Linked DNA regions of Anolis sagrei. The protein of the gene in region 1 interacts with the protein of each later gene in a pairwise test. Links are inferred from orthologs where the notes say so. Each region holds a gene or a part of one and is shown in the gene's direction. Other genes may lie near its edges.

What was found.
Region 2: the proteins of CBY2 (region 1) and LMO3 interact in binary tests that used the Homo sapiens proteins (3 or more experiments, as listed by UniProt). The two-hybrid records come from large-scale screens. The link is inferred for Anolis sagrei from reciprocal best matches to the Homo sapiens genes CBY2 and LMO3.
Region 3: the proteins of CBY2 (region 1) and NTAQ1 interact in binary tests that used the Homo sapiens proteins (3 or more experiments, as listed by UniProt). The two-hybrid records come from large-scale screens. The link is inferred for Anolis sagrei from reciprocal best matches to the Homo sapiens genes CBY2 and NTAQ1.
Region 4: the proteins of CBY2 (region 1) and CCHCR1 interact in binary tests that used the Homo sapiens proteins (3 or more experiments, as listed by UniProt). The two-hybrid records come from large-scale screens. The link is inferred for Anolis sagrei from reciprocal best matches to the Homo sapiens genes CBY2 and CCHCR1.

The regions. Positions count from the first base shown.
Region 1 is NC_090023.1:141,537,843-141,544,524, reverse strand, and holds CBY2 (protein chibby homolog 2), read left to right. Parts: upstream 1-5,023; 5' UTR 5,024-5,069; coding exon 5,070-5,990; 3' UTR 5,991-6,079; downstream 6,080-6,682.
Region 2 is NC_090025.1:182,067,648-182,075,984, reverse strand, and holds the start of LMO3 (LIM domain only protein 3), read left to right. Parts: upstream 1-4,869; 5' UTR 4,870-5,202; coding exon 5,203-5,227; intron 5,228-8,337.
Region 3 is NC_090024.1:20,445,712-20,453,835, reverse strand, and holds the start of NTAQ1 (protein N-terminal glutamine amidohydrolase), read left to right. Parts: upstream 1-4,736; 5' UTR 4,737-4,863; coding exon 4,864-4,964; intron 4,965-8,124. UniProt on the Homo sapiens protein: Mediates the side-chain deamidation of N-terminal glutamine residues to glutamate, an important step in N-end rule pathway of protein degradation.
Region 4 is NC_090022.1:21,398,981-21,407,002, reverse strand, and holds the start of CCHCR1 (coiled-coil alpha-helical rod protein 1), read left to right. Parts: upstream 1-4,919; 5' UTR 4,920-5,011; exon of another isoform or gene 5,012-5,052; intron 5,053-5,116; exon of another isoform or gene 5,117-5,358; intron 5,359-6,523; 5' UTR 6,524-6,540; coding exon 6,541-6,610; intron 6,611-7,742; coding exon 7,743-7,947; intron 7,948-8,022. UniProt on the Homo sapiens protein: May be a regulator of keratinocyte proliferation or differentiation.

The DNA.
Region 1 (6,682 bases):
CTCTGAATGCTATGTATTGCTGAAGGCTTTCATGGCTGGAATTACTGGGTTGTTGTAGGATTTTCAGGCTATATGGCCATGTTCTAGAAGCATTCTCTCCTGACATTTCGCCTGCATCTATGACAAGCATCCTCAGAGGTTGTGAGCCCGAAAATCTGAATGCTATATTTGTTTGTACATCCATTCATTTCTCCATCCAGTCTTTATCCCACCATGACATTCAGGACAGCTTACAAACATGTAAAAGTACAGAACAACCTTAAAACCCCCAAGCTAATACGAATGTTAAAACACAATTAAAACAACTTCTATAATTCAAATATTAGCTTTCTTGATTATCTCACTACAAACATTGGCCAGTTCTCTTTACTCTTCCTGTGTGTTTCTTAAACACATTTCATTTCTTTAGTGTCTCCTTTATTTTTTAAATGAATTGTTTACAATTGAAATTTTAATGTCTCACTTGAAAAAAAACTACATGAACTTTTTCGTGTTTTAACTTCACTCATATTGAAATCTTACTCATATTGAAACAGGATTTTTGAAGTCCAAAGTGCACTTCTGATTATACTGGTGGTCACTTCTATCCATCTGACCAATTATTCCCTACTGGTTGTGGCATGTCACGAGTAGTCCTTGCTTGTTTGTAACATACAGGCAGACTCAATTCTGGAAACAAGGTGCTCAAAGCATAATAAACTTTATTTAAAATAACAAGAGTTGCTAATCATACAAATGACATTGTTAGATATGAAAAATAAGTGACTGCACAATACATGTATAGGTAAAGCAATTTAAATATTCAATGGGCTTTCATCCCATGTATCAATACACAACGCTAGTTCCTTTTGCATGGGTTTTCTCCCCATTGGCTCTTAAACCAAAGTATTCCAGACACCTCTTTACCCCACTCTCTCATAAGAACAGCCTTAAAGCTGTTTTGCCAATTCTACATTGAACCACCATAAAGCAAAGGTGTCACTATCTTAGCCACCCATGCAGACAATTTCAAGATTTTGAGTAGTTTAGATTTTGAAATTCCAGATAAGGAACACTCAATTTCTACTTGTCATACTATTCTCCCAAACATAGTTTGCCCCCCCAAATTGTATATGATTTAAAGACCTGAGTAGGATTTCCAGATTGCTAGCAAAATATTTCTGCCAACTCTCTTTTGTCAACAAAACCTGTGAAGGTTTGGAGGAGAAGAAAAGATGAATACTAAACTAGCAGCCAACACAAATCTAAGTAATTTAGTGTATTGTTGAAGGCTTTCATGGCTGGGATCACTGGGTTGCTGTAGGTTTTTCAGGTTGTATGGCCATGTTCTAGAAGCATTCTCTCCTGATGTTTTGCCTGCACCTGTGGCAGGCATCCTCAGAGGTTGTGAGGTTTGTTGCTAACTAGGAACATAGGGTTTATATATCTGTGGAAGGTCCAGGGGGAGAAAGAACTTTTGTCTGTTGGAGCTAGGCGTGAATGTTTCGATTAGCCACCTTGATTAGCATTTGATGGCCTGGCAGCTTTTAGGTGTGGCTTGTTTCTGCCTGGGAAATTTCCTTGTTGAGAAGTGACCAGGTGTTCCTGATTGTTTCCTGGCTGGAGTTTCCCTGCGTTTGAGTTTTGTTTTTTATTTACTGTTATAATTTTAGAGTTTTTTAGTACTGGCTACCAGTATATAAACCCAATTTTCCAGTTTCCAACAAACCTCACAACCTCTAAGGATGAGAGAATTCTTCTAGAACATGGCCCTACAACCCCAAAAACCTACAACAACTAAGTAATTTAGTATTTTAGAACTTGTAAGAGGAGCAATCAGAATGGGAAGTTTATTAAAGTTAAAATGTTTTTACTTACTACTGATCCCATCACTCCAGATACTCGTTCTCAACTCTACAAACTCTGATCAAGTCTCCTTTTTGAAACTGGTTAGAAAACTTGTTCGGATTCTTTGTTTGTTCCCTCTAATACCAGAATAATTGTTCCATGCCTGTCATCTAGACAGTGAACCAGGCACACCACATGCCAAATAATGTTTGTACATAAGTTTAAAAGAAAAGACAAGCTTCTGCGAACAGCTTGATGAGATTCAGCATGCTCATTGCTCTCTATAAAGCACTGTTGGTGAGGGAGAAAAATAGCCCATTTGTTGGAACAGCGTATGACATCCTAGAAAGAACGGGCATTAAATGGAGCCCCTGGTGGTGCAATGGGTTAAACCCTTGCACTGGCAGGACTGCAGACCGAAAAAGGTCAGCAGTTCGAATCCAGGGAGCTGAGTGAGCTCCTGTCTGTCAGCTCCAGCTTCTTATCTTGGACATGAGAGAAATCTCCCACAGGATGGTAAAACATCCGGGTGCTCCCTGGACAATGTCCTTGCAGACAGCCAATTCTCTCACACCAGAAGCAATTTGCAGTTTCTCATGTCGCACCTGACATGATTGTTCATTCGTTCAGTTGTCTCCGACTCTTTGTGACCTCATGGACCAGCCCACGCCAGAGCTCCCTGTCGGCCGTCACCACCCCCAGCTCCTTCAAGGTCAGTCCAGTCACTTCAAGGATGCCATCCATCCATCTTGCCCTTGGTTGGCCCCTCTTCCTTTTACCTTCCACTTTCCCCAGCATAATTGTCTTCTCTAGGCTTTGCTGTCTCCTCATGATGTGGCCAAAGTACTTCAACTTTGTCTCTAGTATCCTTCCCTCCAATGAGCAATCTGGCTTTATTTCCTAGGGGATGGACTGGTTGGATCTTCTCGCGGTCCAAGGCACTCTCAGAACTTTCCTCCAACACCACAGCTCAAAAACATCTCTCTTCCTTCGCTCAGCCTTCCCTAAGGTCCAGCTCTCACATCCGTAGGTTACTACAGGGAATACCATGATAAAAATATAAACATTAATTGAAGTTCAATATTTGTTTTCTCACTTTAAATACACAGCTATTATCAAAAATATTTTAATCTGTTCGTTAGAATAAACTACATGTCTTTCACAAATTGGTTAAAAATAAGTGGAATGAATGTGAAGTTAAATATTTCAATGCTTTTTCTCTAGCAACAACTAAAATTCACAATCTTTCCGAACTGTTATTTTTATATCATGTTACTCCACTAAAGTAGGGGTTGGAAAAAAGACTTCCCAGGATCAATTGTCCCTCAAAATGACCCCACAGGAAGATTTGGGTTTGTGGAAAGTATTTTTACCATGTTTGGAGCTCCCTCTTGGAATCCCCGCAATCAAAACAAATGTTTGCCAAATATCTCCATTCTTTCCCCACGTAAAATTACCCACAATGCTCTTGAGGGGTCCAAGGAACCCCACATATTTTTCAAGAGTAAGTGGGAGGTTTAGGCTCTTGGAGACGATATGTAGACTCTAGCTTTCCACAGCTGCTTATCCCTGCACTACGCCATCTACAACAAATGTATAAAATTGGCCATTTTTTTTTTGGAAGCAACAGTTTCTAAAAACAGTTACGTTTACCAAAAAGGGAGGTTGAGAATATCAAACATTGTACTACATTATGGTTCTTTTCATTCTAAAATAATAAAATTATAAATATAATAAATTGTATATACATATAATATTTATAATATTATAATGTAATGCAATATAATAATAATAATAATAATACATTATTATTATTATTATTATATATTTATATTACATGTAATATTACTAATAATATTACGATATAGTGGTATGGTGCAATATAGCAATGTTTAATACTGATATTGTACTATGCTAATAATCTAATATATTATATGTAACATATACCTTGTAAGCCGCTCTGAGTCCCCTTCGGGGTGAGAAGGGCGACATATAAATGTCATAAATAAATAAATAAAACTTTTTTTTCAATTGGCTAGATGAGACAATTCCGTGGGAAAATATGGAATATTTGATGAAGCTTCATAATTATTATCCCTCCTACCTAAATAGAATATTTATAACAAATATCATGAATCCATTTTACAAAAGAACTTATTGTGTATAATGACTGAATGAAGGCAAGTTTTGGTGCAAAGGTGGTGAATGGAGAGGGACTGGTGCTTTTGGAAGGACATGGAAGGAGAGACAAAGGTCCCTTCCACACAGCCATATCACCCAGAATATCAAGACGGAAAATCCCACAATATCTGCTTTGAACTGGGTTTTCTGAGTCCACATTGCCATATATTCCAGCTCAAAGCAGATAATGTGGGATTTTATTCAGCTGTGTGGAATGGGCCAAAGTAATGTAGCTGAAAAGGGATTTAAAATCTGGTAACAGAGGGCGAGGAAGTCAATAGTTGGGAAAGGGGTTTAAGATCTGTCTGAGGCTTTGTGGTGAAAGATGAGAAAGGGAATGACAGGCGATCCATAGAATGCGTTTTGCAGTTTTTCTACTTCTGCAGGAGTTTTGAGCTCTGTCAATGTGAGTAGAGACTACTTATACAACATTTAGCCAACTTAATTGTTTTGTTCCCATGTGCATACTGTTTTTCAGGGAAAAACCATATTGAACTGTTCCTTAGTTGTGGTGTAAGAACCTATACCTATTATTTCCTTCTTATTTCTTCCTCTGGTGCACATTTTCCGTTAAAGAAGTAAAGCTCAGAAACACATCTACCTTGTTAACTGATTTCAAATAGTTAACCTGTTTGAAATAATCTGTTTTCAAATAGCACTTTATTATAGCATTTATCTAGAACTGCGGCAGGCATTATTTAACAAAGCAGTTTAGTGAAGGCAATTCTTAGGGAAGCTGGCTTGGCTTTAAACAAATTATTGGCTTTAAAATGTTTCATTTTCCAAAAGAAGAAAAAAGAACTACAAACATTGACTCGAGAATGTCTTAATCTCATGTGATTTCATTTAATTTCATTTTGTAGCCTTTATAACAGACTTAATGTTTTTCATGGTTCATTATTTTAATTGTACCGATTTCAGAGTGCTTGATTATAACTAATGCATATTGCTGATAAACTATCAAATAATATAATTTAATGTGTATTTCTTCACTTTCATGCAATAATCCAGGTCTTCGGACTTTCTTTTGAACCAATATATGCACCTAGTGGAAGGTAAAGATGGACTGCATCCCGCCGAAGGTCAAACTCAGTGATGACACCTTTGTCTTTCTAGATGGCAAGTGGGTGAATGAATCGTTTGTTCAACCAGCAATTTCCTCTTCAGCAGAAGCCCACAAGAAACACTATAGCAAGAAGATGCACAGTGACTTGACCCTCTGGGAAGAAAACAAAGCCCTCTGGGAAGAAAACAAGGCCCTCCGAGTGGAAAACAGGGCACTTCGGGAAGAGAATAAAGTACTCCAGTGTCTAAGGACACAGAACAAAGGTATTCAGGTTATCTATGATGAGAGTCTTCAACAAATGCTCCAACAGGAAAATAAGCCTTTAGTAGCTCTTTCACGCAAAGGAGGACTCCAGGGGGGTAAGGAAAACAAAGCCCTTCAATTTATCCAAGAAGAGAAAAAAGCTCTTCAAATCTTTCGGGATAAGATTTTGGCTTTGAAGGTTTTTCCTGAGGAGGAGAAGAAACTCACCCCAGTCCTTCAGAAGGAAAAGCAATCTGACCTCTTATTGGGAAAGGAACCCCTTGAGCAGGAAACAAACAATACCTCTGCATCAGCTGAGCCTGCTACAGCTGAACCAGAAACACAAGAAGACAGCAGTGCCACCTCAGAAAAAGAAAGGCAACAAACTGCCTTATCACTGTTAGAAGAAAACGAAGTACTTGAAACTGTTCAGAAACTGAACCAAATGGTATTGTTTCTCATAAAAGAGAACCACACACTTCTGGAAGATAAGCAGGCACTCCAGAATAATGAAGGAGGGAACAAAATACTTTGGGAGGAGAACAATAAACTTAAGCTCCAACAAAAGACCACCAAAGATGCTATCAGTAATATTATCGCTCAGATGGGCTTGCTGCAAGAGACGCTTAACGCCTTTGATTTAATTGAGAGTCAGTCAGAGAATACTGAATGAAGAAGCCTGTTAGTTGAACAGCTACAGGGAGATCGGATAGGTTGAATAGAAGTCCATCTACTTTCAGGAAATTATCTCCCTCCTGTGATGTAAGAGCTAATAAAGTTCTGTTGTTGATTCAAAAAGCAGTAATGACGTTTTGAATTATTAGACCTTCCTTCCAATGCCATTGGCTCACTGATAAACCAGGGCCCCAGATCAGCCCCACTCCATGGACCCTCAGGGGCAACCAAGTCCATCACCCTGATCATTTCTTTATTCTGGAGGGCAGCCAGGGCTTTGACAGGATCACCAGCAGCAAGGAATAGCCACAAGAACATCTCAGAAGGAAAGATTGATGTGATGCAGTGGTATGGGCTTTGGACTATGACTTTAGAGACAGAGTCTCAGCATGGAAACCTTTGGACAACCCTGTGACAGGTTAACATTAGGGTCACCATAAGTTGAAAACAAATTAGGGTTCTTCTACACATAAAACCCAGAAAAGTAACTGGGTTAAAAGGGATTGTTTAGCCAAAGTGCAGGCTAAAATGGGTTAACAGTTGGAAAGCACATGTTAAAAAGATTCGCTTAAAATCTGATTCCGTCTCCAAAATGTGCACTGTCTCATAACTATATATACATGTAGTCATACAAAACATTTGCTTCCCTTCCCTCCCCCCTGTGTGGACTCCTACAGCGCACATGTGCTT
Region 2 (8,337 bases), on another chromosome or scaffold:
GAAAGAACTCTTGTCTGTTGGAGGCAAGTGTGAATGTTGCAATTAATCACTTTGATTAGCATTGCAAAGCTATACAGGTTCAAGGCTTAGTTTTTGTATAGTTTGGTATGTAACATAAGTCCCATAAGGGAGGAGGGGGTAAGCCCCACTTGGACATTTGTGCCTTCCATTTCTTGCTGCTTATTATTGTTGTGATTGCTATTAATATTCTGTTGTTGTTGTTGTTGTTATTTGAAACACATCAAGATGAGTCCACAGCAGACAAGATCACTCTGCTGGCTGTTGTATTGGATCACACCTCAGACACTTTCCAAGTGTCTAGAACTGTGTGATGTATATTATTATTATTATTATTATTATTATTATTATTATTATTATTTATTAGGGTTGGTGCATTATCTGGCCTTAGGAAGAGCCAGGCTGATGACAAACCCCTCCTAGGCTTCAAAAGCTTTGCAAAGCACCTTTTCTCATAATGGGTGTCATTCATTTTCTCTTTAAGGGATGGGGGATTCTGACATCTTTAAGGAGGGGGAAAAAAACCTTTGTGGCAATCTTGGTGTGAGGCTCTTAATGGCAGGCAAGCGAGGGTCGCTTTGAAGTCTGGCAAAAGGCGCTGGCAAATTCTTAATCGGTTTCTTCCCCCCTTTTTTCCCCTCTCCCAGCTGTAGGGTTGACTCTTTTCAAAAGGGAAGGCGCCTGGGGGGAGGTGGGGGGTTATTTACACCAGAAGGAGGCTCTACGTGGGGTCGGGAAGGGGGGGGATAGGAAGCCCCATCTCTTAATATTTTGTGAGAGGGAGCAGCATCCAGCACTGCACTGAAATGTGTATGCTTTCAATCCCGGGCCTGAAACTTAGCTCAGGTTGAGAGCATCCAGCCTTGGTGGATGTCTAGAGCAGGCCTGGGCCAACTTGGGGACCTCTAGATGTTTTGGACTTCAACTCCCACCATTCCTAACAGCCTCAGGCCCCTTCCTTTTCCCCCTCAGCCGCTTAAGCGGCTGAGGGGGAAAAGGAAGGGGTCTGAGGCTGTTAGGAATGGTGGGAGTTGAAGTCCAAAACACCTAGAGGTCCCCAAGTTGGCCCAAACCTGTTCTACCCCTTCTTCAAAACCTCCCTGTTGCAATTCCTGAACTAGTCCCCAAAAGGTCCTTTGAAAGGATGTATAAGAAGAAGCCAAGGTGGTTTTCTGCTGCTCCAGAGACTAGGAAACAGAGCAATGGATTCACATTGTAGAGAAGAGAGATCCCACCTAAACATTAGGAAGAACTTCCTGGCAGGAAGAGCTGTTGTTCAACAGTGGAATGTGGTGCTTTAGTGTGTTGGAGTCCCCTTCTGTGGAGGTTTTTCAGCAGAGGCGTGGAGGGCCATCTGTCAGGAATGCTTTGGTTGTATTTCCCTGAAAGAGGGAAGGGTTGAACTGGGTGGCCCTTGTGCCTCTTCCAAGTCTGGATTTCTAAGTTTTAAGGGATGGGGGAGTGAGGAAAGGCTTCAGGGTTGCTGTGAGTTTTCCAGGCTGTGTGGCCATGTTCCAGAAGCATTCTCTCCTGACATTTTGCCTGCATCTAGGGCAGGCATCCTCAGAGGTTGTGAGGCCTATTAGAAACTAGGAAAATGGAGTTTATATATTTGTGAAATGTCCAGGGTGGGAGATAGAACTCTTGTCCATTTGAGGTAGGTGTGGATGCTGCAACTGGCCACCTTGATTAGCATTGAATGGCCTAGCAGTTTCAAGGTCTGGCTTCTTACTGCCTGGGAGAATCATTTGTTGGGAGGTAAACAAGGGAGGTTTATATATCTGTGGAAGGTCCAGGGTGGGAGAAAGAACTCTTGTCTGTTGGAGGCAAGTGTGAATGTTGCAATTGGCCACCTTGATTAGCATTGCAAAGCCTTGCAGCTTCAAGCCTTTATATTATTTAAGATCATTTTCGTATGGTTTGGTATATATGTGAGAGGCAAGTGTGAATGCCTTGATTAACACCAAAAAGCCTTGCAGCTTCAAGGCCTGGCTGATTCCTTCCTGGGTGTTAGATGGCCCTCATTGTTTCCTGTCTGGAAGTCCCCTGTTTTCAGAGTGTTGTTCTTTATTTACTATTTTGATTCTGGTGGGTTTTTTAAATACTGGTCGCCAGATTTTGTTCATTTTCATGGCTTCCTCCTTTCTGTTGCAATTGCCCACATGCTTGTGTGGATTTCCATGGCTTCTCTGGGTAGTCTAATCAAGGAGGCCAACTGCAACATTCACACTTGCCTTCGACAGACAAGAGTTGGACCTTCCACAGATATATAAACCTAGTTTCCAACTGACCTCACAACCTCTAAGCATGCCTGCCATAGATGTGGGCGAAACGTCAGGAGAGAATGCTTCTGGAACCTAGCCATACAGCCCGGAAAACTCGCAGCAACCTAGTGATTCCGGCCATGAGAGCCTTCGACAACACAAAGAAAGGCTTCTCTTTTAGGATCCCTTTCCCATCTCCAACCCTTCCCTTCCTAGGAAGCCCAAGGGCCTCTCTTCCCAAAGGGGGAAACCCAGCCTTCAATGGGGGGCTCCACGTGGGAGGAAAGTGACAGGCGCCACGAAGGAGCTCTTGGGCTCCCAACTTTGGGGGAAGGGAGAGCGGCCCTCTCGTCTCCTGGGAATGTGGCAGGGATTTCTTGCAGAGAGAAGGGGATTTGAGTGGGGGGCTTCTCCCTCCCTCCCCCCCCCCCCAATCCCAGCTTGGTGGCTCGTGCCTGGCGCCTGCAGCTGCTTTCCTCCGACTTGAACTCGCCGCCTCGTAAACTGTTCACTGGGGGGGGGGGGGGGGGTGAGCGACAAAGCCCAATCTGTCTCCGGGCTGCTTTGCGCTGTGGCGAGCGGGCTTTGCGGCTTGCGAGAGGGAGGCGGGGGGCGACGAGGAGGAGGGGAAGGAGGGAAGGAGGGGGTTGGGGGAGAGAGGAGGGGGGCTGTGTGTGCGTGCGTGAGAGAGAGAGAGAGAGAGAGAGAGAGGAAGGAGGTAAATAGCCTGCTACCGGACGCCAGTTCCTCAGCTCCTCTCCTGCTTCTCCAAATCCCACTCCACGCCGAGAACACGAGTGACCTTTCTCCCCCCCTTTGCTGTATTATGTCTGGCTGGTTAAGGGATTGCGTCCTGCAGTTGGTTCAGCCCCTGACTTCTTCCAGCTCGGCTCAAAGCACGCTGCTGCTTTAGGTAAGTTCTTTCTCTCCTCCCTCCTTCCCTCCTCCCTCTCTCTTCTTTCCTTCTCTCTCTCTCTCGGTCCCGATTTCCAAGGCTTCCTTTGGCTTGAGCCTAAACCCACAGGCATCCTTGTCCCCCTTCCCTAGAAAGGCCACCTGTAGCTGGGGCTCCGTTTCTTTAGTTTTTGGGGGGAAGAGAAGCAGGCGCCCTCTTTCTGCGCCCCTCCTTCTCTCCGCGTCCGCTCAACTCCTTCCTTTCCTCTCTTCCCTTCTATCCTTTCCTCTCTTTCCTTCCTTCCTCTTCCCTTCCTTCCTCTCTTCCCTTCCTTTCTTCCTCTCTTCCCTTTCTTATTTCCATTCCTTCCTTTCCTCTCCTTCCTTCCTTCCTCTCTTCCCTTCCTTTCTTCCTCTCTTCCCTTTCTTACTTCCATTCCTTCCTTTCCTCTCTTCCCTTCCTTACTTCCATTCCTTCCTTTCCTCTCTTTCCTTCTTTCTTTCTTTCCTTCCTTCCTTTCCTCTCTTCCCTTCCTTACTTCCATTCCTTCCTTTCCTCTCTTTCCTTCTTTCTTTCCTTCCTTCCTCTCTTCCCTTCCTTACTTCCATTCCTTCCTTTCCTCTCTTTCCTTCCATCCTTTCCTCTCTTCCCTTACCTTCCCTCCTTCTTTTCCTCTCTCCCCTTCCTTCCCTCTCTTCTCTTCCCTTCCTTCCTCTCCTCTCTCCATCCTTCCTTCCTTCCTTCCCTTCCCTCCCTCCTCTTTTCTCTTTCTCTTCTTTCCCCCTCCGACCATGCTGCGCGCAATCTCTGTCCTTCCCCAAGGAGAGCGCCTCGAAAGTGGCATCTAGGGGTCCCGAAGTGACTTTGCCCGTGTCGAGTGGAGAAGGTAAGTTGGGGCCAGTGGGAGCCTGAGGCGGGAAGGGAGGGCTCTGGGTCAGGATGTGGGGCTTGGGGCTTCCTCTCTTTCCCCCTCCTGGCCCCCATACCATACCCACCCCTCTCTCCTCCTTTCTTCCTCTTTCCTCTTGCTGCCCTGCAACTTTGGGCTGGAAGCACTTTGGGGAGGTGTGTGTGTGCGCTTTTGACTCGTCTGGTTTTGGCCGGGCACCGGAGAGTCCTGGCTCGGACTTTGGGGAAGGAAGGGCCCGCTTGGCGTGGCTAGTTGGAACAAAGTCAAACAATGGAGCCCAGGCTGGCCTTTTCCTGCCCCGAAGCGGCGAGCGCGCCTCTCCAACGCCGTGGCGAGAGAGAGAGAGAAAGAGAGCAGCTGCTTTCCTTCCTCGCCTTCCTTCCAACCCTTTCCCCCTCTCCTCTAGATAGGAACCGGGTTCCCTTTCTCTTCTTTCCAAACCCCAACTCTTTCATAAAGAGGCTCGAAACGGTGTGGACAGGGCGCAATGTTGAGCCCTTCCTGCCCTCTCCATTCGCGATCAATTTGGAGAAAGATCGGAGCTTGGAAAGCAGCCTCCCCGGCTTTTGTCATGGAGATCTCTTCCTACTCTTTACTCGTCTCTCTTCTCTCTCTCTCTCTCTGATCTCCAGCCCCAATCCTTCCTTTCTGGCTGGGATGTTTCCTCCTACTATTGTGGCATGGCTCTTCCTTCCAAACCCCGAGATCGGGAAAGAAGAGAGTTCAGGGAGCCACCGGGATCTGTCCTCCTTTCGCCACTATCATCACTCTCTCTCACACACACGGATTTCCCTAAGAGGACTTCACGCTGGCAAAGGCGTCCTGCGTGTGTGTCTGTGGCTGTGTGTGTGAGAGAGAAAGCGAGTGCGCGCGGCTTTTCCTCGCAGCCCAAGCGTCGCCTTCTTCCCAAGTGCTTCTCTCTGCACAATAGCCCTTCTCTCCCTCCTCTTTCTCTTCTCTCTTTCGCCTCCTTCCTTCCCCGGTGTCCAGCACTCTCCTCTTCCACTGGACCCACACGGGGAGGAAGAGGGGGCTGGGGAGGCTGGCCTGCTTGCCCATTGCCTTGCCTGGGCTCAAAGCGAAGCAGCTCCCTGGGAAGTCCCTGCCATCCCCTCATGCAGAAAAAGGAGAAAAGTTTTGGTAAGGTTGTTGTCATCGCGTCTTCGGGTGTGTGAGTTGTCTGTCCGTCTCTCCCTCCCTCTAGCATCCCTGTGTCTATATGTGTGTGTCTATACTCTATATATCTATTTCGAGGGAGGAACAGGGGGAAAGCAAAGCTACCCTTTGGCCATCCATCCAAGCCTGTCCTGAACTGTCCTGTTGGACAGGATGGTGTTTTCTGCAAACGCCTTGGGTCGGGGATCTCCAAACACAACCCCTCCTGATCTGATTTAGGAATTGTGATGGATCTCTTTCTTTTCCCCTTCTCCCTGCCGCATTACTAATACTAATAACTAGGACAACAAAGCCAAGGCACAGGCTGTCCTTGCCTGGCTCTGGCAGGGGTGATGAGAAGAGCCAGAATTGTGTTAGAGATACAAAAGAGGAGGGGTCTTTGTTGTTAAAGTGTGTGTTTCCTCTGTCCTGCTCCTGTGTCTGTCTATGTGGGTGAGAATGTGTGTGTATTAATTTTTCTCCCCTTTTTTTTTCTTTTTTTTGCATGTGAACTGCATCAAAATTGAGCTCACTCTTGCAAATCTCTTGTTGGCCTTTGCCAACCACTAGCACTTTGCTGCCATGGTAACTGTAATTAAACTGATAAGAGTGGAAAAATGTCAGTATCTCTCTGAGTCTTACAGCTGCATTGGAAGAAAGGAGGGGAGGAGAGAATCAAATTGGCTTCCAGCAGCACCGCATTCAGTTTGGAAAGGGGCAGAGGGGGGGGGGGGGAGGTGGAAGGAAAATGGGAGGGGGAAAAGTGGTGTATTAAACAGTTTATGGGTGACAGACTTTAAAGAAAACAGCCACACTTGAGTTCTTGGCGTGGGATGGATATATATATATATATATATATATATGAGGAAGACAGAGAGAGATGTTTGCACTTCCTATCCCTCTGAGAGCTGGAGGATATAGAGAAGATGTGGGCCAATGAACAGAGAAACAAGCTTTTAGGCCCGAAACCAAATGGCTTTTCAGAAATAGAGGAGGTGACAAGGAGGGGAGGGCGGAAAGTGAGGAGGAAGCCTTTTGTCATTCTTGGCAGAACCAATTTCTTTCTTCTGAGCTGGTGTTAGGTTTTTGTTTTGTTTTTTTGTGTGTGTGGAACAACTTGAGAAACTGCAAGTCGCTTCTGGTGTGAGAGAATTGGCCATCTGCAAGGACGTTGCCCAGGGGATGCCCGGATGTTTTGATGTTTTGCCATCCTTGTAGGATTTGCAGTTCCTCAAGTTGCTCCTGACATGAAAAAAAATCCTTGTGGGAGGTTTCTCTCATGTTCCCACATGGGGAGCTGGAGCTGACAGATGGAGCTCATCCGTGCTCTCCCTAGATTCAAACCTCTGACCTGTCAGTCTTTAGTCCTGCCAGCACAAGGGTTTAACCCATTGCGCCACTGGGTGCTAGTTATGTGATGGCATATCTAGCTGCAAAAAATGCCACCTTACCCTAATCTGTACCCTACCCTACCCTCCTCTTTCTTCAAAGCTGCACCCAAAGTTCCCAGCAAGTATGGCAGAAATGTGGTGGTCTTGTGAGGGAGAGAGTGCTGGCGGTGTGCATGTGTGTGGTTTTGAAAACAAAATGTCCTTGCTTGAGGATGACAGCAATTAGCGTGAAGTAGACAAAAAGTCCCATGTTCCGAATGGCAAAAGGTGGCAGGGTGAAGTCCTGGGTGTTACGGAGTTGCGATCACTTTGTTGTGTTTGTATCTGAAAGTGTAGGGAGGGTATGAGGGGAGATGAATGGCACAGAGCTAGGGAACATAATGGAGGCAATGGAGCATTGGGGTGGCGCACAATGCAATCCTGGCAATTAAAAACTCACCAGAGTTTTTGAAATGCAATGGCTCCTGCTTCTTCTTGGCTTGCCACGCTGCATGGCTATTATTCCATGTGTCTGTCTCCATCTCTCTCCCTCTTTAATTATGATTTCCCTTAACCTGTCAAACAATTCAAATGTAGCAGGGGCCTCTGAGGCAATAGGATTTTCTTCCCCCCACCAAACAATTTGCATGCCAGTCTGAAGGACTCCTGAGGTGTGGGGAGGAATTCCAGAACGTGCCTGTTTATCAAAATGGCTTTTTGTCGAAATAGGCATTCCTTCCTTGAATAAGTGTGTGTTACCGAGGGAGTTCCAGCAGCTACTTTTTGAGCATTGGATTAGCACTCCCCCGAACTTCAGCGCTCAAATACTTCTGCACGCCCAACAGCCTTTAAGTTGGAGCATCCTAGCTTTGGAAAGGGTCTTAAATTGTTAAGGTTGCTGCCTTATGCACATTTATGCAGAGAGCCCAAGTCCCTCTGAAATCAATTTTGTCCGCTTCTCAGTAAATATGTACAACGTCATGTCTTGTTCATAGGTATTTAGTAGGCACTGTGCAGTTTTGCCTCACAGCCCAACCCTATATATTTCTGTTTGCAAGTCAATCTTAGTAGAGAGAGAATGTGATATGTTCACAATTCATGGCCACCCTTTGCGTTTCGATGGCGAACAGAAGCAAACTTCGAAGGTCTTGGTTAGCATGGAAACATTCTGCATAAGGAACTGGGTATGCTCTTTTGCTAATGGATAGGACTAGGCTGAAAATCATAACTCAGCGGCCCCAATTAATATTTCTTGCAATCTGGGATGGGTGTTGTGAAGGGGAGAATTAGGAAATGGAGAAAGAGAGAGCTGTGTTGAATTCTCTACCCAGTCCAAGTGTTCAGGGAGCAGGTTAAAATAATCCATTTTCACCTTTATGGAGATTCACTTTTGAGGAGAAAAATGTAGACACAGTTCAGCCAAATTGAAGGAACCTTCATTCGTACTGATTTCCTAAGGGTTGCCTTATATTGACATCAATTGGTCTGGAACATGCTTGGTTGGAGTGTCTTAACCAAAGTGTCCTTAATCCCTATCTACTAATGCATCTGCTTGCAGACTCAGCTTGGCATGCAAGTTCATATGATGCCCCCTTGGTTTGAGCTTCCTGCAGTAAGTCCCAAGCCCTAAAGTCTTGAAGAAGTTTCAGGCTTACTGCATTGCGAAATAAGTTGTCTGTGTGCATGGGAGTCCATGTCAGAATCGTATTAAAGTGCAAAAAGAGC
Region 3 (8,124 bases), on another chromosome or scaffold:
ACTGCTGGAACAGCACCTTGGTTTTTTCAATGTTCAATGACAGGCCGAGCTTCTCGTATGCTTCTGCAAAGGTGTTTATAGTGGCTTGTAGATCTTCTTCTGAATGAGCACAGACAACGTTGTCATCAGCATATTTATTTATTTATTTATTTATTTCGGTTGCTTCTACCCCGCCCTTCTCACCCCGGGGGGGGACTTAGGCGGCTTACAAAAGCGAGGCACAATTCAATGCCCGCATCACATACAGCAAAAGACAATAACATCATTTAACAACAACAATTCTATCAATAACAGCAATTACCATAAAGACAATAATTATAATAGGTAAGAACAACCATAAAACCAATAAAAGCAATAAAATCCATACAAACCTCCTTGACGGTCAGCGTTTCACATTCTCATAGTTTAAATTCAAATTCCACAATTGTCAGCCCTTTTAGTCCTATTCATCTGGTTTCCATATCTAATTGTCAGGTTGCCCAAAGGCCTGGTCCCACAACCACATCTTTACCTTCCTCCTGAAGGTGAGGAGGGATGTTGACGCCCTAATTTCCCCCGGGAGTGAGTTCCACAAGTAAGGGGCCACCACTGAGAAGGCCCTGCTCCTCGTCCCCACCAGCCTCGCTTGTGATAGCGGTGGAGTCGAGAGCAGGGCCTCCCCGGATGATCTCAAATTCCGGGGTGGGACGTAGAGGGAGATACGTTAGCCGCCCTGAGTCCCTCTGCGGAGATAGGGCAGGATACAAATTCCCAAAATAAACCTCACTTGCCTTGTTTTCAACAGATCTCACAACCTCTGCGGATACCTGCCATAGATAGTGGTGAAACATCAGAAGAGCCTGGAAAACTCACAGCAAGCCAGTGATTTTGGCAATGAAAGCATTCAACAACTATTTATTTATTAGATTTAATAACCTGCCTTTCTCCAGGATTCAGACCCCAACTATTACTAGGTTACAGGAGTCTATATTTCAGAGGAAGAAAGTGGCAGAAATTATTTCTTGGGTATTAGTTTCCCTAAAACCCTTATGCAGAACTCATTCCTGTTCCCAAATCATATAGCTATTATTATTATTATTATTATTATTATTATTATTATTAGCTATTATTATTAGCCATTCTTATAGGTATGTTCACCTTGGTCCAGGAGTGCTTCAAAGTGGTTGCAGAGTCTGTAAAGTCTCCAAAAGGCTGGCTATTATTGGGTTGCTGGTTATTACTGAGGGAATTATTATTGTTGTTGTTATTATTATTATTATTATTATTATTATTATTATTATTATTATTATGGAAAGCTATTCTTAAGATAAATTTACCTCTGTCCAGGAATACTTCAAAGCAGTTGCAGAGTCTGTAATGTTACCAGAAGGAAAGCCAGCTCTCTCTTCCACAAGTCACTTCCCCTTTGGAGACCATTAAAATCCTTGCAACTTCACCAAGAGGTGGGACTTTCCTCAACATTTCTTCAAGGAAAAGCTTCACCTGTTTGATCAGAGAGTGCTGCTGCCTCACCAAACTGCAACTCCCAGGATGCTATCTCTCAGGGTACATCTATATACTATGGAATTAATACAGTTTGACACCACTCTAATTAACTGCCCTGGCTCAATCCTGTGGGATACTGGGATTTGTAGTTTGGCAGAGAAGAAAAGCTGGTAAAACTAGCTTTTCCCAGGTATATATGTTACATATTATTTTAATCTTTGCTCTGTGTATTTCAATATGTATTTTATAGAAGTGCAATTTAATATGCATCTTTTATAGAAATACATTTTAATTTGTATTTATAGAATACCTGCTCCCTGGTGGGTTAAACCGCTGATTTGCTGAACTTGCTGACCAAAAGGTCGGCATTTCAAATGAGGAGCAGAGTGAACTCCCCGTTAGGCCCAGCAAGAGTGAGTAGATTAATAGGTACTGCTTCTGTGAGAAGGTAATGGCGCTCCATGCAGTCATCCTGGCCACATGACCTGCGATGCGTCTACGGACAATATCGGCTCTTTGGTTTAGAAATGGAGACAAGCACCACCTCCCGGAGTCAGACACAACTAGACTTAATATCAAAAGAAACCTTTACCTTTTTATAGAATTTTTACAATGTTTATGTGTTTTTTAACAATGCTGGAATCCACCTCCAGGCACAAGGAATGCTAACTAAAAAGTAAAATTACACTATGTAACAAAATTTGAAAAAAAGTGTTCCTGAATTGAAAATGTTACTTCCTGTTTAATTGTGTGATCCTTTGAAAGAAGTTGCTACACTCCAGAAACTTTGTATTTGTGGCTGCCACAAACTATGAGATATGTGTATATATGTGGTTTTGCGAATGCATTGTAATGTAACTTTTATTTTTTGGCTTTTTAAGTATCTCCCGCTGTGTTTTTCAGTGTTTTTATGAGTGATGGTCACTTGTTGGGCTGATAGGTGTATTGCGTCCAAATTTGGTGTCAATTCGCCCAGTGGTTTTCGAGTTATGTTAATCCCACAAATGAACATTAAAATTTAATTTATATAGATACTAGATGTATCGGCCACACGTTGCTGTGGCCAACTACCCCCCCCCCCCTCTTTCTCTCCTTTCTTTCTCCCCTTCTTTCCCTTCCTCTCTGGGTGTGTATATATTTGTATATATGTGTGTATATATATATGGTTTTGCACATGAGTTGGAATGTATTTTGTGTTTTTTGGCTTTTTAAGTGTCTTCTGCTGTGTTTTTCCATGTTTTTATGAGTGATGGTCACTCATTGGTCTGATAGGTGTCTTGTGTCCAAATTGGATGTCAATTCACCCAGTGGTTTTTGAGTTATGTTAATCCCACAAACAAACATTCTATTATATAGACTAGCCGTCCCCTGCCATGCGTTGCTGTGGCCCAGTCTGGTGATCTGGAAAATAAAGTAATGAGAAAGTGTTGGTTTCTAATCTATGTAATTTCTTTATGCTTATGGGTAAACAGTATTTCTTACTGTTTCTTTGTCAGTGTTGATGTAGAGATTGTCTGTTTTGCCTACTCTGGAACATGCAACATATCATTGTCCTTCTTTAGGTGTCCCTCTCAAATCCATGATACTATATCTCTCTCTGTGTGTAAATCGTATATATCTATCTATATCTATGGCTGGATGGCTCTTTGTCAGGAGGGCTGTGATTACGTTTTCTTACCCTGGTGAAGGGAGTTGGACTGGATGGCCTTAAGTATTTTCTATTAGTCATAGGGGTTCTGTGTGGGAAGTTTGCCCCAATTCTATCTTTCATGGAGTTCAGAATGCTCTTTGATTGTAGGTGAACTATAAATCCCAACAACTACAACCCACAAATGACAAAATCAATTTTTGAGTGGGTTGTTGTAGGTTTTTTCAGGCTATATGGCCATGGTCTAGAGAGGCATTCTCTCCTGACGTTTCGCCTGCATCTATGGCAAGCATCCTCAGAGGTAGTGAGGATGAGTGATGATCACTCCTTGGGTTAGTAAGTGTCTTGTGGCCAAATTTGGCGGCAATTCGTCCAGTGGTTTTTGAGTTATATTAATCCCACAAACAAACATTACATTTTTATTTATATAGAAGAGGATATGGATGTTAGATTGCCAGCCTTAAGCTGGTGAAACCTTTCCCATTCCTTTATCCCATTACATATGACATATGATGAATCCTATCTATCTATCTATATATAAATGCTCTGTGCATAATGAGTACCTTAAAAACAAAAGAACCAATGAACGAAATCACACCAAATTTGGCAACAAAACGTCTCACAACACAAGGAGTGACCATCACTCAAAAATTTATGATTTTGTCATTTGGGAGTTGTAGTTGCTGGGATTTATAGTTTACTTACAATCAAAGAGCATTCTGAACTTCACCAATGATGGAATTGAACCAAACTTGGCACATAGAACTCCCATGATCAACAGAAAATACTGGAAGAGTTTGGTGGGCATTGACCTTGAGTTTGGGAGTTGTAGTTCACCCACATCCAGACAGCACTGTGGACTCAAACAATGATGGATCTAGACCAAACTTGGCACAAGCACTCAATATACCCAAATATGAACATAGATGGAGTTTGGGGGACATAGACCTTGACATTTGGGAGTTGTAGTCACTGGGATTCACAGTTCACCTACAATCAAAGAGCATTCTGAACCCCACAAACAACAGAATCGGGGCAAACTTCCCACACAGAACCCCCATGACCAACAGAAAATACTTAAGGCCATCCAATCCAACTCCCTTCATCAGGGCAAGAAAACGTAATCAGAGTCCTCCTGACAAAGAGCCATCCAGCCATAGAGAGAGAGAGAGAGAGAGAGAGAGAGATGATTCACACACAGAGAGATATAGTATCATAGATTTGAAAGGGACCCTTAAAGAAGGACAATGATATCTTGCATGTTCCAGAGTAGGCAAACCAGACACTCTCCACATAAACACTGATAAAGAAACAACAAGAAATACTGTTTATCCACAAGCATAAAAATTAAATATATTAGAAACCAACACTTTCTCATTACTTTATTTTCCAGATCAACAGACTGGGCCACAGCAACGCGTGGCAGGGGACAGCTAGTATGATATATACATATATGCACTCTTCCTCCCTCCCTCCCTCCCTTCCTTAATTTTTGCTTTCAATCAAGAAGCAACACAGTGACCCGGAACCCCACTTCTTGTGCCGTGTTTCCCGGGGAAGGTATTGTTTATGGCGCCCGTTCCCTCTCCTCTGCTTGGGGCGCGCGCCTTCCAAGCCAGGCTGCCACTTCCGGTTCCTCTTCGGCTCGCTCCTCTCTTCCTGCCCAGCTTTCCTTCCTGGGGAAATGAGCCCCCCAAGCCTCCCCCATCGCCAGGCCCGTGGGTTCCCGGATGGAGCAGCAGGCTCTCGGGCTTGGAGCAGCCTCAGCCTCGCCTGCCTACCGGCCCGCAGCCTCAGACCGGCCTGGGTGCGTCTACACCAGCTGCTATTGGTAAGGCTTGGAAGAGGCCCCAGAGAAAGGCCGTTCATCACTCCCAACCCCATTCTGCCAATGCAGGAATACACAGGCCCGTCCCACACAGTCAAAATACAGTACATACATCAACACATAGATTATAACATGCATCTCGTGTCTTTATTGACAAGCTGAGATCTGACCAGAGGAGGGCAACTCAAATGATCAAGGGTCTGGAGAACAATCTCTATGAGGAGTGGCTTAAAGAGCTGGGCATGTTTAGCCTGCAGAAGAGAAGGCTGAGAGGAGACATGCTGAGGTCTATGTATCAAGATGTGAGGGGAAGTCATTGGAAGGTGGGAGGAAGCTTTTTTTTCTGCTGCCCTGGAGATTAGGATGCGGAACAATGGCTTCAAACTACAGCAGCATTTCTCAACCTGGGGGTCGGGACCCCTGGGGGGGGAGTCGTGAGGGAGTGTTAGAGGGGTCGCCAAAGACCATCAGAAAACACAGTATTTTCTGTTGGTCATAAGGGTTCTGTGTGGGAAGTTTTGGCCCAATTCTATCGTTGGTGGGGTCTAGAATACTCTGATTGTAGATGAACTATAAATCCCAGCAACTACAACACCCAAATGACAAGGTCTATTTTCCCCCCAAACTTCACATTTGGGCATATTGAGTATTTGTGCCAAGTTTGGTTCACATTCATCACTGTTTGAGTCCACAGTGCTCTCTGGATGTATTTGAACTACAACTCCCAAACTCAAGGCAATGCCCACCAAACCCTTCCAGTATTTTCTGTTGGTCATGGGAGTTCTGTGTGACAAGTTCCGTTCAGTTCCACTATCGATGGAGTTCAGAATGCTCTTTGATTGTAGGTGAACTATAAATACCAGCAACTACAACCCCCAAATGGCAAAACCAACCCCACGCATATTCAAATTTGGGCATATCAGGTATTTGTGCCAAATTTTGACCAGTGAATGAAAATACATCCTGCATATCAGATATTTATGACGATTCATAATGGTAGCAAAATGACAGTTTTGTTATGGTTGAGGGTCACCACAACATGAGGAACTGTATTAAGGGGTCACGGCATTAGGAAGGTTGAGAACCACTGAACTACAGGGAAGGACATTCCATCTGAACATGAGGAAGAACTTACTAACTGTGAGAGCTGTTCAGCAGTGGAACTCTCTGCCCAGAGTGTGGTGGAGGCTCCTTCTCTGGAGGCTTTTAAACAGAGGCTGGATGGCCATCTGTTGGTGCTTTGAATGCGATTTTCCTGCTTCTTGGCAGAATGGGGTTGGACTGGATGGCCCACGAGGTCTCTTCCAACTTATGATTCTATTTGGAAAATAAAGTAAACACAACATTTTTTATTCTGTTACAGAACAGATGATACTATGAACATTTTTGTCAAAATTCTCTTTATTCTTTGTGCTTCCACCGCCCCCTTATTTTTATTCAACTCTTCCCCCCCCCACACACACACACCCCCACCCACACACACCCCCACCCACACATCCCCACCCAATTGCACCCGAGGCTACCAAGATCCTTCAAGTGCAGTATTGCCCTATTGATGCTGCCTAGAATTGTATGAGCTTTTTTAAGCTGCTGCTGTTGACTCATGTTCAGTGTAATGGTTTAGGCAACACAGATAAAGTGACTGACATTCCTATGTTATCTAGGTGCTTCTCCATGATGACACCAAATTTGGAGGGATAGCCAGTAGTCCAGAAGACAGGAGCAGAATTCAAAACGATCTTAACAAATTAGAGAGATGATTGGCCAAAACTAACAAAATGGAGTTCAACAGGGACAAATGCAAGATACTCCACTTAGGCATAAAAAATGAAATGCAGAGATACAGAATGGGGGATGTGTGACTCCAGAGCAGTACATGTGAAAATGATCTTGGGGTCTTGGTGGACAACAAGTTAAACATGAGCCAACAATGTGATGTGGTGGCAAAAAAAGCCAATGGGATTTTGGCCTGCAGCGATAGGAGTATAGTGTCTAGATCCAGGGAAGTCATGCTACCCCTCTATTCTGCCTTGGTCAGACCACACCTGGAATATTGTGTTCAATTCTGGGCACCACAATTGAAGAGAGATATTGACAAGCTGGAATGTGTCCAGAGGAGGGTGACTAAAATGATCAAGGGTCTGGAGAGCAATCCCTATGAGGAGAGACTTAAAGAGCTGTGCATGTTTAGCCTGAAGAAGAGAAAGCTGAGATTATACATGATAGCCATGTATAAATACATAAGAGGAAGTCATAGGGAGGAGGGAGCAAGCTTGTTTTCTGCTGCCCTGTAGACAAGGACTCAGAACAATGGCTTCAAACTACAAGAAAGGGGATTCGACATGAACATTAGGAAGAACTTCCTAACTGTGAGAGTTGTTCAGCAGTGGAACTCTCTGCCCCAGAGTGTGGTGGAGGCTCCTTCTTTGTAAGCTTTTAAACAGATGGATGGCCATATTGGGGGTGCTTTGAATACAATTTTCCTGCTTCTTGGCAGGGGGTTGGACTGGCTGGCCCATTAGGTCTCTTCCAACTTTATGATTCTATGATTCTGTGATGAGAATTTCTGAAGTGGCATGAGAGGCATTCATTACACGATCTAAATACTACTACAGGATATGCCAATTCATTAAGTGCTGATGATAACTTGCCTTTGCCTTCCCCTGAGCCGAGATGATACAGCTTATTTATTTACTGTACTTATACCCACCCATCTCACCCCTGAAGGGGGGCTAAGGGCGGCTTACAAACTATGATAATAATTCAGTGCCAGATTCAGGCAATAACAGTATCAGTAAAACATAACATTATAAAATTGTAATAAATATACATATCAATTAAAGTAATCTTTCAAATGATTAAAACGTATCAAGCTTGCTAGTGGTCAGTGGGTTTCCAGGTCAAACCTGCTCTCCCAGTGTTCTCGTCCCAATACTCAAATTACTACATAATGCTGGTAGTGTCCTTGTATTTAATTCAGCCAATGCATAGGGTGGGGTAAGAAGAGACAGCTGGTTCTTGGCCTTCTGTATATCTACTGTATTTTCCATACAGTGGTGTATGTGATAAGTATAAATCTTAGCAAAAGTCAACTCTGGTTCTAACATGTGCATGTACATGCTCACAGAGCTTTTAAAAAGAGATTTGGCCAAACTTTTAGAAA
Region 4 (8,022 bases), on another chromosome or scaffold:
TGGAATAGCAGTTAAAGGTGGCGGGAGGTCGTCTAAGCGGCTATTGGAAAGTACCTGGTTGCTAGACTGGCTCCCTTCCACTCAGCAACTGGCGGAATCAGAGGCAGTAAGCAAACAGTATTTTGGCGCCCCCCGCTCCCCAACCAATAACTGATATATATTTTCTGTTCATCGTGGGAGTTCTGTGTGCCATATTTGGTTCAGTTCCATCATTGGTGGAGTTCAGAATGCTCTTTGATTGTAGGTTAACTATACATCCCAGTAACTACAACTCGCATATGTCAAGGTCTATTTTCCCCCCAAGAGCACCTCAAGAGCACCCCTGGGCAAAATCAACTATACTGCAAATGCTTACGTTGTGTAATGTGTTGAGCCGCCCCTGGACGGAATGGCAGTTAAAGATGGCAGGAGGGCTCCTCGGCGGTTGCTAGAGAGTGCCTGGTTGGTAATCTGCCTCTCTCGCACTCAACGGCTGATGGAATGGCAGTTAAAGATGGCAGCAGTGCCTCTCAGCAGCTGTTGGAAATTACCTGGTTGGTAGTCTGCCTCCCTCGCACTCAGTTGTGCCGTCGCGCCTGGAGGCTATAGCTCTTAGTGAAAGAGACATGGATGTGACATCTTTCCCCAGGGGATTGCTTCTTGCCCTCCTTTAGGAAACTGGATTTCTCAAAGACCCAAACACTGTAGATAACTCAAAATAAGTTTTATTGTTCACAAAGAGTTATCTCTTTAAGGCAATAAGCTGGAAGTTTCAAAGGGGGGGAAGGAAAATATACATTACAGTCTCTGGTTGTCTTGGGTCCAAGGTGTTTGCAGCTGAGAAGCTTTTCCAGGTCCCTCTTTCTCAATGGCTGTAAATGCCGGAGCAATCCACAACCTCAGTTTGAAGACTCAGGGTCTTCCTCTGGTGCCAAAAGAACTGGCTTGAAGGTGCTTGAGACTTCCCAATGTCGTTCAGGTTGGTCTGAACATGAAGCATAAGTCTCAAGGGTAAAAACCTCAGAATTGGTGCTGAGAGGTAATTTAATCAGGGGCTTTTAGAGCCAAGTCTCTTACTCATGTCCATCTCGTAGAAAATCTGAAGGTGGAATAAAAAAGGGAAGCACTCCCCTCCGCCAGGAAGAGGTGGAGCCAAACAACTGAGCTGAAAAAGCAATTCAACTGGTGCAAACAACACTGATTGACAAATATAAATAACCAATCAATCCAACTATACATAAGCAGGGTAAAAAAGCAGAATTAAGCATGATACAACAGTTTAAATCTTGCAACTAACAGTTCTACAGACATAGGTGGTGCCACTCGCGCCGTCACACAGTAGCCGGTGGAATGGCAGTTAAAGATGGCGGGAGGGCTCCTCGGCGGTTGCTAGAGAGTGCCTGGTTGGTAGTCTGTCTCCCTCCCATTCAGCGGCTGGTAGAATGGCAGTTAAAGATGGCGGGAGGGCCTCTCAGCAGCTGTTGGAAAGTACCTGGTTGATAGTCTGGCTCCCTTCCATTCAGCGACTGGTGGAATGGCAGTTAAAGATGGCAGGAAGGCTCCTCGGCAGTTGCTAGAGTGCCTGGTTGGTAGTCTGGCTCCCTCCCACCCAGCGGCCGGTGGAATGCCAGTTAAAGATGGTGGGAGGGCCTCTCAGCAGCTATTGGAAAGTACCTGGTTGGTAGCCTGGTTCCCTCGCACTCAGTAGCTGGTGGAATGGCAGTTAAAGATGGTGGAAGGGCCTCTCAGTGGCTATTGGAAAGCACCTGGTTGGTAGTCTGGCTCCCTTTCACTCAACGACTGGTGGAATGGCAGTTAAAGATGGCAGGAGGGCTCCTCGGCGGTTGCTAGAGTGCCTGGTTGGTAGTCTGGCTCCCTCCCACTCAGCAGCCGGTGGAATGGCAGTTAAAGATGGCGGAAGGGCTTCTCGGCAGCTGATAGAGAGTGCCTGGTTGGTAGTCTGGCTCCCTGTTGCAACTCAGAGTAGGCTTCACCTTGTTCCCAAATACTACCACACAAGAGCTGTAGATTTTGTAGTTTATTGAGGCAAAAACCCAAGTCAAAACATAGAGTAAGCAATACAGAGTTCCAAAGACAAAGGTTAAATGCAAAACACAATTCCAAAGGTCCTCAGGTAAGAACATAAAACATAATCCTTTAAGCAATGGTCAAACAAGAGTCCTTGGTAAAAACAGTGAAACACAAGTCCCAAGAATCACGATTCAGGAAGCCCAGAGCATGCTGCTTTAGAGCCAAGGTTATTCCATAGAAACCTTCGTGCTAAAAGCCACGATGAACTGACACATTCCCCTTGTTAACCAGAAGCCTAAATACCTTTTGCGAACAAGAAAACGTTACGCTCTCGCCAACATGAAAGCATTTCGATGACCTTTCATCGACCTAGCTTCTTTCTTGCTGGCTAGCCGCAAACTCCTCCTGACCCACCAATCTAAACATTCCTGCCTGCTCATTTAATCACTATCAAGGCTGCTCTCTTCTCTATCAGTATCAGCATGAGACGGCTGAGCAAGTGAAGGTCTCTGCCCCTGGTCGTTATCTAATTCGCTGGCATTCTTTTCCCATGAGAACTGACTTGTTGACTCCTCTGGTGAAGTGTCTGCAAGAGGTGCAGACAAAGGCATAGGAACAGGACCAAAAATCTGAATCCCATCATCCTCTTCATCAGGGAACATTTCAGGCTCACAAGAGGGTTCAGTTTCAGGCTCAGAATCAAGCTGAGCCACAACACTCCCTTCCACTCAGCGGCTGGAAGAATGGAGGTTAAAGATGGTGGGAGGGCTTCTCAGCAGCTGTTGGAAATTACTTGGTTGGTAGTTTGGCTTCCTCCCACTCAGCGGCCCGGTGGAATGGCAGTTAAAGATGGCGGGAGGGCCTCTCAGTGACTGTTGGAAAGTACCAGGTTGGTAGTCTGGTTCCCTCCCACTCAGCAGCTGCAATAAGAGAGTAAGAGAGTGAGTGAACATATAGATAGAGGTGTCAGGGGGGAAGGGATTCCCTCAGCCTAGCCTAAAGCAAGGACCAAGTCGCAACAGTCAGAACTGACCACAGAACAACAGACTGGTTCAAGATTGGGAAAGGCGTACGGCAAGGCTTCATACTCTCACCCAACCTTTTTAACTTGTATGCAGAACACTTCATGCGATGTGCGGGGCTTGATGAATGCAAAGCTGGGGTGAAAATTGCTGGAAGAAACATTAACAACCTCAGATATGCAGATGACACCACTCTGATGGCCGAAAGCGAGGAGGAGCTGAGGAGCCTTCTAATCAAGGTGAAAGAAGAAAGCGCAAAAGCCGGGTTGCAGCTAAACGTCAAAAAAACCAAGATTATGGCAACAAGAATGATTGACAACTGGAAAATAGAGGGAGAAAACGTGGAGGCCGTGACAGACTTTGTATTTCTAGGCGCAAAGATTACTGCAGATGCAGACTGTGGCCAGGAAATCAGAAGACGCTTACTTCTTGGGAGGAGAGCAATGTCCAGTCTCGATAAAATAGTAAAGAGTAGAGACATCAGACTGGCAACAAAGATCCGCCTAGTCAAAGCCATGGTATTCCCTGTAGTAACCTACGGATGTGAGAGCTGGACCTTAGGGCTGAGCGAAGGAAGATCGATGCTTTTGAACTGTGGTGTTGGAGGAAAGTGCTGAGAGTGCCTTGGACTGCGAGAAGATCCAACCAGTCCATCCTCCAGGAAATAAAGCCCGACTGCTCATTGGAGGGAAGGATACTAGAGACAAAGCTGAAGTACTTTGACCACATCATGAGGAGACAGCAAAGCCTGGAGAAGACAATTATGCTGGGGAAAGTGGAAGGCAAAAGGAAGAGGGGCCGAACAAGGGCAAGATGGATGGATGGCATCCTTGAAGTGACTGGATTGACCTTGAAGGAGCTGTGGGTGGTGGCGACTGACAGGGAGCTCTGGTGTGGGCTGGTCCATGAGGTCACGAAGAGTCGGAGACGACTGAACGAATGAACAACAAGTACAGCAGCATGATTTGCAAAGCATTCTGCAAACTAGGAGAGGACCTTCTTTTCTTCTTTGTAAAGAGGATTGAGACAATTATTCAACAAAATGCTCTATATGAGTTTCAATGGAGCAAAAATAGTGCAGCCCACTATTAAAAAATCCAGTACCATGACACAATATATAATTATAGTGCTATGATTCTACATTACAGCAGAAAATTGGAAATAGGCTTCTCTTTATATTCATGGGCTGTGCATTTGTTGAACTCCATCTGAACATGAGGATGAACTTCCTGACTGTGAGAGCCGTTCAGCAGTGGAACTCTCTGCCCCAGAGTGTGGTGGAGGCTCCTGCTTTGGAAGCTTTTAAACAGAGGCTGGATGGCCATCTGTCAGGGGTGCTTTGAATGCAATATTCCTGCTTCTTGGCAGAATGGGGTTGGACTGGATGGCCCATGATGTCTCTTCCAACTCTTTGATTCTATGATACTAAAAGTTAGGGTGTATCTATACTGTAGAATGACTGCACTTTGACACCCCTTGAACTGCCATGGCTCAATGCTATGAAATTATGGGAGCTGTAGTTTTATAAGGTCTTGAGCCTCTTCTGCCAAAAAGTAATTGTGCTTCATCAATCTGTAACTTAAAGGATTCCATAGTAATTGAGCCCTGGGAGTTAAAATTGTGTTGAATTGCATTCATTCTATAGTGTAGATGCACTTAATGGGCAACCTAAACAAGTTTCTACCGCTTTTTCGGATCCAATCCGCTGATTGGTCGATTTGAGGAAAAGGGGCGTGTCCTCATTCTTCGCGCGCCCTTTTGAAGCGGGGAGGAAAAAAAAACCCGTTCTAAACAACAAAGAGCTTGTCCCGTTATCTGATTGGCTGAGACACCGCGAGGGGGTGTGTCTAACATTCGTCCCGCCTATCTCGTGACGTCACCGTTCCATATCTTTCCGTTCTCTTCGGATCGGTGTGGTTTCTATTCTCTCCGTTGGAGCTTGGGACGCGAGAGTTTGGCGCATGCGCAGTTCGACGTCGGTGGGTTGCTGCTAGTGACTGTTGATGGAGGGTTCGGAACGGTGGATTCATGTAAAAAGAAAAGGGGGGGGGGCGGAGCGAACCAATGAGAAGGAGGAAAAGGGGGGAAGCGGAACGAACCAATTTATAAGGGAAAAGGGGGGCTCTAAAGAGTAAAAGAAAGGATTTAGAAAGCAGCTTGTGCTAAAGAAACCCAACTGACTTGTGAAATGCAAAAGAAGAAAGAGGATCATGTTAGGACTGGCTTCTTAAGCATTAAAATTGCTTGTTAGACATATATCTTTGAATCATAGCCTGCAGCTAATGTTAACCAATACTTTTTAATCATTTTGTGCATGAAACAATTGGTAAGTAACACAAAAATTAATAGCTCTAGAGCACAGATAAAGTCTTCCTTATCCAAAATATTTTGCATTTTTTTTCCTTCCAGATTTTGGAATACTTTGATTTCCATAGTGATATTAACTTGGAGAGGAGAACTAAACCTCATCATGAAATTCAGATATAGATATATATATGCCTTATATACATATACAATATTGTATAAAATGATCTCTAGGATATTGGATGTGAAATAAAAGAATGCTCAACCTGTAAAATGGAATGCAAATATAGTAGACTCTCAATTAACCAGAATTTCAGATAGCAGAACTCTCAAGCAACCAGCAAAACTTTTAAAACAACATTGCATAGTGCAGTCACATAGCTGTTTTTATAATAACGCAATATATTAAGATTTTATTTGTCCTGATTTGCTTTTAACTATTGCATTTCAATATTAATATCAAGTAAATTTAAAGTGTATGGTATGGTATAGTATGGTATAACGGCGCTCCATGCAGTCATGCCGGCCACATGACCTTGGAGGTGTCTACGGACAACGCTGGCTCCTCGGCTTAGAAATGGAGATGAGCACCACACCCCAGAGTCAGACATGACTGGACTTAATGTCAGGGGACTACCTTTACCTTTACCTTTATGGTATAGTACGGGGTATAGTATTAGTTAGTCCTATTTTTAATAGGCACTCCCAAGCAACCAGAATCTACCAACCCCCATGAGTGCCAGACACCTGAGAGATCCATATTTTGGCCCTTTCTACAATGCCATATAAAATGCAGTTTATCTGCTTTGAACTGGATTATATGGCAGTGTAGACCAGGCATGGGTGAACTTCGGCCCTCCAGGTGTTTTGGACTTCAACTCCCACAAATTCCTAACAGCCGGTAGGCTGTTAGGAATTGTGGGAGTTGAAGTCCAAAACACCTGGAGGGCCAAAGTTTGCCCATGCCTGGTCTACACTGCCATATAATCCAGTTCAAAACCAATAATGTAGATTATATGACAGTGTAGAAGGGGCCTTGGTGCTATTTTATAGTCTGCTTTCAGTAGAAATTGTTCATAGAATTGTGCTGGAGGATCTCAAGATTTCTAGGGAGCAATATTATTATTATTATTCTCTTTTTGGTGGTGGGTCCTGTAATTGTAACTTCTGTGAATGTATTTCTGAAGGATTATGATTCGGAGCCATGGATAGAAGGAAAGATTCAGACAAACAGCTGGAGCCTCCTGCTGCGTTCGGAGTGCCAAGATCCACTGGTAAAAAAAGGAGCGCATTTGAGATCGCTTCTTTGTGTGTTAATATTGATTTTGTTATTTGGGAAGTTGGGAGTATGAGTGTCCTGTGCTTGTCAGTGTCACATATGGAATCTACACTATAGTATTCATGAATTTCAGTGCTGTGGAATCTTTGGAAGAGATGCTTATATAATGCCATATAATCCAGATTATCAAAGCAGATAATCTGGATTTTATATAGCAGTGTAGAAGGTGCCTACAATTCCGAGGATTCCGTAGCAGTGGGTCCGGTAGTTAGTTGTGTCAAACTCATTATTTCTACAGTGTATTTACGACATTTACCCCAAAGGGGACTCAGAGCGGTTTACAAGATATATATACATACAATATATATTATTAGCATAATACGATATCAGTATTAAATATTACTATATTGTACTATAACATTGTATTGTAATAATATTAGTAATATTACATGTAATATACATATATAATTATAGTATTACATTATATTGCATTACATTATAATATTATAAATATATGTATATACACTATATTATATTATATTTATTATATTTTATTATTAGAATAGCACAGGAGACAAGGTGGAACTGTCTTCTGCCCCCCTTTCTAATTTAAGTCCCCACAGGGAGAAAGGCAGGATATACTAATACAGTATTTATTTATTTATTTCGGGTACTTTTACCCCGCCCTTCTCAACCCCCGAGGGGGGACTCAGGGTGGCTTACAAAAGGCACAATTCGATGCCTGTACAAAAATTATACATAGTGTACAAAACCATAGTTAAAACAATTATCACAGTTAAAACAATCATAACAATCAATATACAATATACAGTAGTTAGGCCTAGTTCTAATAGTAACTCTCAAGCAACCAGAAACTATGTTTATCCAGCATCTACTAATCCCCATGGGTGCTGGTTCATTGAAAGTATACTACAGTAAATATTTTTTACCATTGACCAAATTCTGCAAGAATGTGGATTGAACGGACAGAATCTGTCATAGTATGAACCCCTAGAATACTGATCTGTTGTATCCCTAAGTTCCCTCCAATATAAAATCCAATTGTCTGAATTTTCAGTACTTATATGTCCATCTCTGCCTTTGGTGTTCATCTGTTTTTTATGTAGAGCCCAGAGGGCTGATCCCACCATCCCATTTCCAAAGCCGGTCAGCCCCTCCTTTGCCAGGGCCTGTGGGGCTGCCTTGGTGTGCCACCTCGCAGTCTAATTGGGAGGCAGCCGAACTCAAATGGGAAAACCAACGGCTGAAGGATGAACTCCAGAGATGGAGCAAAAAAGGAGAGAAGCTGGAAGAGGCTGGAAACAGAAAGAGGTAAGCAATCATATATAACAGTTGTTTCATCCATTTAATTCTGCGCGATCTATTGATGAAGGAGCCTTCGGTGGT